Linked DNA regions of Callithrix jacchus. The protein of the gene in region 1 binds, or shares a complex with, the protein of each later gene. Links are inferred from orthologs where the notes say so. Each region holds a gene or a part of one and is shown in the gene's direction. Other genes may lie near its edges.

Evidence for each region.
Region 2: the proteins of PPP1CA (region 1) and MRAS are in contact, whole or in part, in a crystal structure (PDB 7TXH), measured with the Homo sapiens proteins. The link is inferred for Callithrix jacchus from reciprocal best matches to the Homo sapiens genes PPP1CA and MRAS. Residues at the interface, in NP_002699.1 of Homo sapiens: Pro178, Asp179, Gln181, Gln185, Arg188, Ile189, Met190, Pro192, Thr193, Pro196, Asp197, Gln198, Trp216, Gly217, Glu218, Phe225; in NP_001078518.1 of Homo sapiens: Val6, Pro7, Ile31, Gln35, Lys36, Ile37, Val39, Asp48, Ser49, Tyr50, Leu51, Lys52, His53.

Annotation. Positions count from the first base shown.
Region 1 is NC_133511.1:124,477,317-124,481,558, reverse strand, and holds the start of PPP1CA (serine/threonine-protein phosphatase PP1-alpha catalytic subunit), read left to right. Parts: upstream 1-1,404; 5' UTR 1,405-1,501; coding exon 1,502-1,556; intron 1,557-2,086; coding exon 2,087-2,218; intron 2,219-2,374; coding exon 2,375-2,605; intron 2,606-3,328; coding exon 3,329-3,433; intron 3,434-3,831; coding exon 3,832-4,055; intron 4,056-4,138; coding exon 4,139-4,242. UniProt on the Homo sapiens protein: Protein phosphatase that associates with over 200 regulatory proteins to form highly specific holoenzymes which dephosphorylate hundreds of biological targets.
Region 2 is NC_133518.1:45,976,561-45,980,869, reverse strand, and holds the start of MRAS (ras-related protein M-Ras), read left to right. Parts: upstream 1-1,453; 5' UTR 1,454-1,714; intron 1,715-1,958; exon of another isoform or gene 1,959-2,752; intron 2,753-4,309. UniProt on the Homo sapiens protein: Signal transducer in the Ras-MAPK signaling pathway that regulates cell proliferation and survival. Core component of the SHOC2-MRAS-PP1c (SMP) holophosphatase complex that regulates the MAPK pathway activation.

The DNA of each region.
Region 1 (4,242 bases):
GGCCATGCTAATCTTCTCTGTATCGTTCCAATTTTAGTATATGTTCTGCCGAAGTGAGCACAATTTTTTTTTTTTTTTTTTTGATACGTTCTCTCTCTCTGTCACCCAAGCTGGAGTGCAGTGGCGCCATCTCAGCTCACTGCAACCTCTGCCTCCTGGTTCAAGTGATTCTCCTGCCTCAGCCTCCTGAGTAGCTGGAACCACAGGCACGTACCACCATGCCCAGCTAATTTTTTGTATTTTTAGTAGAGACGGGGTTTCACTGTGTTAGCCAGGATGGTCTCAATTTCCTGACCTTGTGATCTGCCTGCCTTAACCTCCCAAAGTGCTGGGCTTACAGGTGTGAGCCACGGTGCCTGGCCAATTTTTGTGTTTTGTGTTGAGACGAGGTTTCGCCATGTTGCCCAGGCTGGGCGCAAGAGATCATTATGCCTCAGCCTCCCAAAGTGCTGGAATTACAGGCCTGAGCCACGATGGCCAGCCCACCTCCAGTTTTGAGGTTACTGGTGTGTAAAGCACCCAACTCAGGGTTCCAACAGTAATTACGGTTCATGTAATGTCTACTCTTTATAATTCTTTTTACGTGCACACCCTGCAATATTACTGTGCTACTCAAAGCTTATTATGGGGCCAGGTGTGATGGCTCAGGCCTGTGATCCCAGCCTGGCTAGCATGGAAACTCCCCGTCTAATAAAAATACAAAAATTAGCGGGCGCGGTGACATCCGCCTGTAGTCCCTGTTACTCTGGAGGCTGAGGCATTGTCATCGCTTTAACCCAAGAGGGGAAGGTTGCATTAAACCAAGGTCGCGCCACTGCCTTCCAGCCTGTGGGACAGAGCAAAACCCGCCTCAAAAAAAAAAAGCTAATTATGGGACTTATAAGAAAATATTAATTTAGCATGCCCCAAGGACCAAAGTGCGCTGGGAATTCTAGCTGTCTTTGAGTGTGGTCAGCCGCCTGGGGGCCACGGAGACCCACGAGGAAGGGGGTCCTCGGTGCAAGCGAGGTCCAGGTCTTGAACCAGCCTGTCGCTATGTCTTGAACCTCAGTTTCCCTTTCTGCATTTGGAGAAGTTAACCCTCAGTGCGGGGCAGCCGGTTATTAACGTGTTCACGACACCCTCCACCCAGGGCAGGGGTGGGAAGGGCTGTTCAGCTTTTGAAAGAGAAAAACAACTTCCACATTCCTTCCGGCCCCACATCCTCGAAACGGAGCTGGGCGCCTCCTCTCGGGCGTAACTAGCCTCGGCCCCGCCCCCGACAGACACCGCCCCCAGCCCGCCGCCGAGGCCCCGCCCCCTGGGCCTCCGCGCCTCACATCCAGCGGGGGCGCTAGAGCGCGGGGGGCCGGGCAGGGCGGGCCCGGGAGGCCCGGAGGCGGAGCGGCGGGCCGGGGGCGGACTGGGGCGGGCGGAAGGAGAGCCAGGCCGGAAGGAGGCAGCCGGAGGGCGGGAGACGGGAGCGGGCCCGGAGCTGCTGGACTGGAGCGGCGGCGCCGCCATGTCCGACAGCGAGAAGCTCAACCTGGACTCGATCATCGGGCGCCTGCTGGAAGGTTGGCCGGGGTGGGGAAGGTCCGCGTCCGCCGCGCCCTGGACCCCTGCCCAGCCCGGAAGTGGCGCGCGGGCGGGCCCCCGGGGCCAGCTTAGACTGGGCGGGGACGCGCCGCGAGGTTCCGTGGCCGCAGCCGCCCCCCCCCGCGGACGCGCCTGAGAGGTCCGGGGCCGGCTTCGAGGCGCGGAGCAGCCCCCTCTCCCCGGCCGGGGGCTCACGGGTTGCCTCGGCTCTTGGGGCGAGGGAGAAACCCGGGAAGCCCGGTCCAGGGAGGTGTCTTGCGCTGTGAGGTTTTGGGCGGCAGCCCCCTGCGCACGACAGTCGCCTCCCGAGCCTTTGAGGATAACTAGGGGGGCTTCCCTTGGGAGGCTTGAGGCCGACGTCCCAGGAGGCTCAGCAGCAACAGCTGCCTCTGGGCAAGGAGGGGCCGAGGAGGCCTAGGCGCCCCCGGAGGTATCCACGGGGCCACCGTGTCGCCCACCCTCCCCCTGTCTGAGAGGCCAGGGTCCTGACTCCGCATTGCGCCCCCAGTGCAGGGCTCGCGGCCTGGCAAGAATGTACAGCTGACAGAGAACGAGATCCGCGGTCTGTGCCTGAAATCCCGGGAGATTTTCCTGAGCCAGCCCATTCTCCTGGAGCTGGAGGCACCCCTCAAGATCTGCGGTGAGCAGCCCCCAGCCTCGCCCAGGCCCCTTTGGCTTCCTAAAAGTGGCACTGGCCCCCACAAAGTTCCTGGAGCCCTCCTCCCTTGAGCCTAGTCCTGGCCCTGGGTTCAAGTCTAGACCCAGCATCTAGCTTACTCGGTTCCATGGGTCACAGGTGACATCCACGGCCAGTACTACGACCTTCTGCGACTATTTGAGTATGGGGGCTTCCCTCCGGAGAGCAACTATCTCTTTCTGGGGGACTATGTGGACAGGGGCAAGCAGTCCTTGGAGACCATCTGCCTGCTGCTGGCCTACAAGATCAAGTACCCCGAGAACTTCTTCCTGCTCCGTGGGAACCACGAGTGTGCCAGCATCAACCGCATCTATGGTTTCTACGATGAGTGTGAGTGGTCTGAGCACCCAGGGTTGCCCGGGTCCCGAAACGCTCCTTGCTATTCAGTGGGACCCTCACATTGGCTTCGTATCTGACAGACACTTGCTAGACTGTGCGCTCCACGAAGGCAGGGCCCGCTCCATTCTCGTGCCTGCCCTGCCCTGCCTGGCACGGGGTCTGGGGCATGGTTGCTGACTGGAAGGCTGCTGGTATTCTGGTGCTTGCTCCCAGGGCCCTGCCTGGTGAGGCTCCACTTACATCTGCTACTAAGCACTTAGGATGTGTTTGCAGATGGGCTCAGCTGTCCAGAAGCTGAGATAAACCAGACCTGTACTTGGCCCAGCTTATGGGTGGGGGTGTTTGGGGAGTGCCAGCCCTGAGGCCGGTCCAGATTGGAACTCAGTTTTCATTGGACTTGGGTGCTTTAGAATTACTTCTGGCAGGAAGATCACTTGGACCCAGGAGCTCCAAGTTACAGTGAGCTATGATCTCGCCACTGCACTCCAGCTGACCCTGGGTGACAGAGCAAGACTGTTTAATTAAAAGTTAAAATAAAAAGTAAAGAGAATAGTTCCTGGAAGGCTGATAGGCTGCAGGGGCAGGAGTGGGGACAGGGGCAGGGTGCAGGGTGGTTTGCCTCCAAGCCTCTCTCCTCCCATCTGCGTCTGAATAGCCCAGGGACCCAGGTGGAGGGTGGGGTAGGCGGGCCCCTCACAGCCATCTCCTGGGCAGGCAAGAGACGCTACAACATCAAACTGTGGAAAACCTTCACGGACTGCTTTAACTGCCTGCCCATCGCAGCCATCGTGGATGAAAAGATCTTCTGCTGCCACGGAGGTGAGGGAGGGGACGGCTGGGGACAAGGAGACCTGGCCGCATCCCCCATTGCCGGGCCAGCTCTCCTTAGGTCTGTCTCATCTGGGAAGTCACTCCTTCTGGGAAGTGTCTCCCATACCCCTGTGCCGGGCTGCGCTGACTCCCTTGTGCATCCTACATGGAATAGGCTTGGCTTGTCTATCTCCCGGGAGCTCTGCGCTCCTGAGGGCGGGGACATCTTTGTGCCTCTTTGGGAACCTGCAAAAGCTGAGGGGAAGGGGATGACTTCTGCCGCCTGGGTGCCCAGGTGACCTGTGGAGGAATCAAGGGGGCAGTGGGAAAGGTGAGGCTGATTGGCCACAGCTTCCTGGAGTGAGGATGTCCTTGTTTGAGGATGTGGACTTCCCCCGGTCCCCCAGGCTTGTCCCCAGACCTGCAATCCATGGAGCAGATCCGGCGTATCATGCGGCCCACAGACGTGCCTGACCAGGGCCTGCTGTGTGACCTACTGTGGTCTGACCCTGACAAGGACGTGCAAGGCTGGGGCGAGAACGACCGTGGCGTGTCTTTTACCTTCGGAGCCGAGGTGGTGGCCAAGTTCCTGCACAAGCACGACTTGGACCTCATCTGCCGGGCGCACCAGGTGGGCTGGCAGCTCTGGCCTGGGGTGGGAGAAAGGGAGGCCAGTGCCAGCATGCAGAACTGACTGCTCTGGTCTGCACCCAGGTGGTAGAAGATGGCTATGAGTTCTTTGCCAAGAGGCAGCTGGTGACACTTTTCTCAGCTCCCAACTACTGTGGCGAGTTTGACAATGCTGGTGCCATGATGAG
Region 2 (4,309 bases), on another chromosome or scaffold:
CTTTGGGGCAGCAGTGGGAATGGAGGCACAGGGGGTGCACAGCAGTTCTCTTCAAATGGCTGCATGGGTGGCTGAGATGCCAACGGAAGCCTGTGTGGGATTGAGAGCCTCAGCATGGCAGGCAGGGTCAGCAGTGCTGTGAGGCTCCCTTAGGCCTGGGGGAAACCTGGCAAGGGAGTGGGTTCCCTGGACATGTAAAGCTGGTTATGTCACTGAGGTCCACCCACAGAAAGAATGTCCTCAGAAATGATGCTGACAATCAAAACCACAATGAGGTGCCACTTCGCCCCCAATAGGATGGCTATAATGAAAAAAGACACACAATTACAAGCGTTTGCAAGGATGTGGAGATATTGGAACACTCATACATTGTTGGTGGGAATGTAAAATGGTGCAACTGCTTTGGAAAACGGTTTGGCAGTTCCTTCGAAAGTTAAAGATAGAGTTAACATATGATCCAGCAATTCCACTCTTAAGTATATACCCAAGGGAAAGAAGAACATATGTTCATATACAAAGACTTGTACATGAATATTCATAGCAGCTTTATTCACAGGAGCCCCAAAACAGAAACCTATATATTCATCAAGTGATGCACAGATAAACAAAAGGTATAGACATACAGTGAAACATTACTCAGCCACAGAAAGGAATGAAGCACTGCTATATGTTACATCATGAATAGATCATTAAACATTGTTTACTGAAAGAAGCTAGTCACAAAAGGCCACATGTATGATTCCATTTATAGAAAATGTCCTGAATAGGCAAAGAGATTGAAAGTAGATTAGTGGTTCCCAGAGGCAGGGGGAGGGGTGAATGAGGAGTGACTGCTAATGGGCAGTTTATTTTTCGGGGTTAGGGGGATAGGGGGAGTGGGGAGACAGGGAAAGTTTGTTTTTTGCAGGGAGGGGGCACCCTGGGGAGTAGGAAGTGGTGAAAATGTTCTGAAATTAGCTCATGGTTATGGTTGCACAACTATGTGAATATGCTAAACACCACTGAATTGCACTTTTTTTTTTTTTTTTTTAAGATAGAGTCTCATTCTGTTGCCCAGGCTAGAGCGCGATCTCGGCTCACTGCAACTTCTGCCTCCCGGGTTCAAGTGATTCTCCTGCTTCAGCCTCCCGAGTAGCTGGGATTACAGGCACGTGCCACCCTGCCGGGCTGATTTTTTCGTAGAGATGGGGTTTCACCCTGTTGCCCAGGCTGGTCTTGAACTCCTGACCTCAGGCGATTCACCCTCCTCCGCCTTCCAAAGTGCTAGGATTACAGGCGTGAGCCACCGCGCTCGGCTTGAATAGTACACTTCAAAAGGTGGAATATTATGGTGTTGAATTATATCTTGATTTTTTTAACGGGGGAAAACGACGCCGCTGGAGAGAGTTAGCGGAACTGAAACAATGAAATGGTGCACGCTTGTCGCCAGTCCCCGTCGCATCCATCCCAACGAAGTTTGGGCCCTGGAACTGTGCACCAAGAAGGCCTAGAAGAGACGCTGGTGCAGGATCGGGAAGAAAGACGTCTCCGGATTCGAAGGGAATGCGGCTAAGGTGGCGGCGGAGGCTCGCCTAGGACTGGAGAGCGTGCGTCGGCTCAGAAGTTGGCCGGGCCGGAGCGGAGATTTAAAGGTTGGAACGCAGAGGCTCTTAAAGAGGCCGGGGCGAATTCCCATTCAGCGTCCACCTTAAAGCCAGCTCCCGGGCGGAATCGGGTAAGTGCGCGGGGCCGCGGGGGAGGCGGCGGCGCCGACCCCAGCCCCTGGCTCGCTTGCGCGCCCTGCCGGGCCCAGGGAATTCGGCACGGTGGGCTGGATTTCGCAGGCCGCGCGTCCTGGGGGCCGGGGTGCACGCGAGGGCAACGGGGTCCAGGCACCCGGCCCGGGCTCCCCTGCCGCGGCGCTCTATTTTTAGCAGGCACTGTGGCAATATAAGGAATGCGCGGCGCGCGAGGCGCTCGGGGCGCACGCTGGCGGCGCGGTCGCTTTAAGGAGGCGCCTGGGCGGGGACGGACTGGAGCGGCCGGCTGGCGGGGAGCCGTCAGTCCGGCGGCCGCGGGGCCCGGCGGGCGCGGCGCTGCCTACTCACCGGCGCGGGCTAGCAGGGGGCGGCCTGAGTGCCTGAGCCGAGCCGGGACTGGAGCGCGCGGTGAGTGGTCCCGCGGCCTTGGAGGGGAGGGGGCCCCGCCGCGCCGCCTCCCCCGGCCGTCGCTTTGTTCCGGGGCGGGAGGTGTGGCCGCTCTCCGGACTCTGCCGCGCTCTCCGCTAGCGGGGTGCGCTGTGGGACCGGCTGTGCGTGGCGTTTTGCCCTCATCGCGGGCTCCAGCGTAACGGTGTGCGTCCGGGAAATCGGCCACGACCGAGACCCCCAGTGGGGAGGGCCTGCGCGCCGCTCAAAGAGACCCTTTCATGGTAATCACCCCTGGGTTCCTTGGCTGCCTCGGCGAGAACCCGGCGGGTATAGATGGGCGGCAGGACGTGGTGGGAGGGGTGGGGAGCTCTTTCTCTACCTCCCCTTCTTAAGATGGCGTTAACGGGAGGAGGAATCCTCCAGGGAGTTGACAAATTCATCTGAATAATAAAACGCAGCCTCTTCATAAACAACCCTTCACTGCTCCCGGAGGTTTGGGGAGCTGGAGCTGTGGTCACAACTAGGGCCTGGGCTCATACATTGAACTGACCTGGCTGGGGCGTCAGACACGGTAGCAGTCCTGCCCCAGGGAAGGCAGGAGCACAAAGTGACAAGCCAGTGTGGTAAGTGCTGAGATCTGGTAAGCCCACGGGTTGTGGGAGCCCCCAGGGGTCCCTACTCCAGAGTGGGAGGTGAGGGAAAGCCCCCTAGATGTCTGGCCACAGGATGGACACTGGACGCCCAGCTAGACTCTGGCCTGGGACAAAGCGGAGTCTGGAGAGGTGGACAAAGGCCATCAAGACCACTGGGGCCTTGATCATAGAGCTCTGGCATTGCCCCTACTCCCCAGTGGCCCCTGATAGTGTGAATCCTCCCTGGTCTTGCTCCTCCAGGACCCACTCTGCCCTGGACCTGACCAGAGAGGGTGGCTGACAAGGCTCAGAATCGTGGCCTCCAGAGGTTTTTCTGGCAGCAGGAGTAAGATGGAGATATGAATTAAGAGCTCTGAAGCTCGGCTGTAATAACAGCAACCAACAGGGCTTACAAAGACCAGGCACTTGAAGTGGATTTGCTCATCATTTGACAAGACACCTCCGGAAAGATTTTGTTTATTATAAACGATGGAGGACCTGGGGTGAGAGAAAGAGCCAGCAGCTTGCCCAAGATCTTATCCGAAGTTCATGCTTTTGGCCACGTGGCTGTCCTGGGCTTGGGAAGGCTTTGGTGCAGCCTGTGTTAGAGTTTTATAATATATGGTTTTATAGTCATTCACTATAGACATTCACTGGTGGGTTGAAGTGTGAGGCAGTGAGCTGTGGGTATTAATAACTGACTTGTGTCAGAAGCTTAGCAGTGAACAAAGCACTTTCTCGGATATAGTTCTTAGAGCTTCTCCTGCTTCTTTTCCCAGGGAAGAAACTTGAGCTGCTAACATTTTGTAAACCTCCTAATTTCCTGTAAATCACATGTCCCTACTGACTGAGGCTGAAAATGTCTGGGGTAATGGTTTTCACCCTTAGGTCTGTTCAAACTGCCCAGCAGTCAGTTAACTTCTCTCTGTGTAGTTTATGGTGTAGTTTGTCCTTTTTCTGCCAGGGTAGAAGGCATGGAGCTTTCATGCTCTGGGGTTTTTGAGGTCTGCCAGCCTCTGGGGAGGGAGGTGTTGAGCAAGCCTCGTGCTCTCGGCATTTCCTAAAGGCAGGGGGTGGGGGTAGTCAAGGCCCTCTGGTGAAGTAAGCCATTGTCTCCAGCGCTGTCAGCTTTGCTCCTCCATAAGACAGTTGCTAGTTTCCACCTCTGTTTTCACCTACATAAGATATCTTGTGACAGTTTAACTTTTATGTTATTCTTAGCTCTAGCTACCGGTATTTCACATCTGAACTACTTATAAAGTGACAAGCAGCCAGAGCAACATAGTGAAACTCCATCCCTACAAAAATTAGCCTGGCCTGGTGGCATACACCTGTAGTCCTAGCTACTCTGGAGGCTGAGGCGGGAGAATTGCTTGAGCCCAGGAGGCAGAGGTTGCAGTGAGCCATGATCACACTGCTGCACTCCAGCCTGGGTGACAGAACAAGACCTCGTCTCAAAAAAAAAAAAAAAAAAAAAAAGTAACAAGTTAGTTACCCATGGGGTTGGTTTGGTTCCTGAGCTCTAGTGATCACCTGGAATCAGTTGAT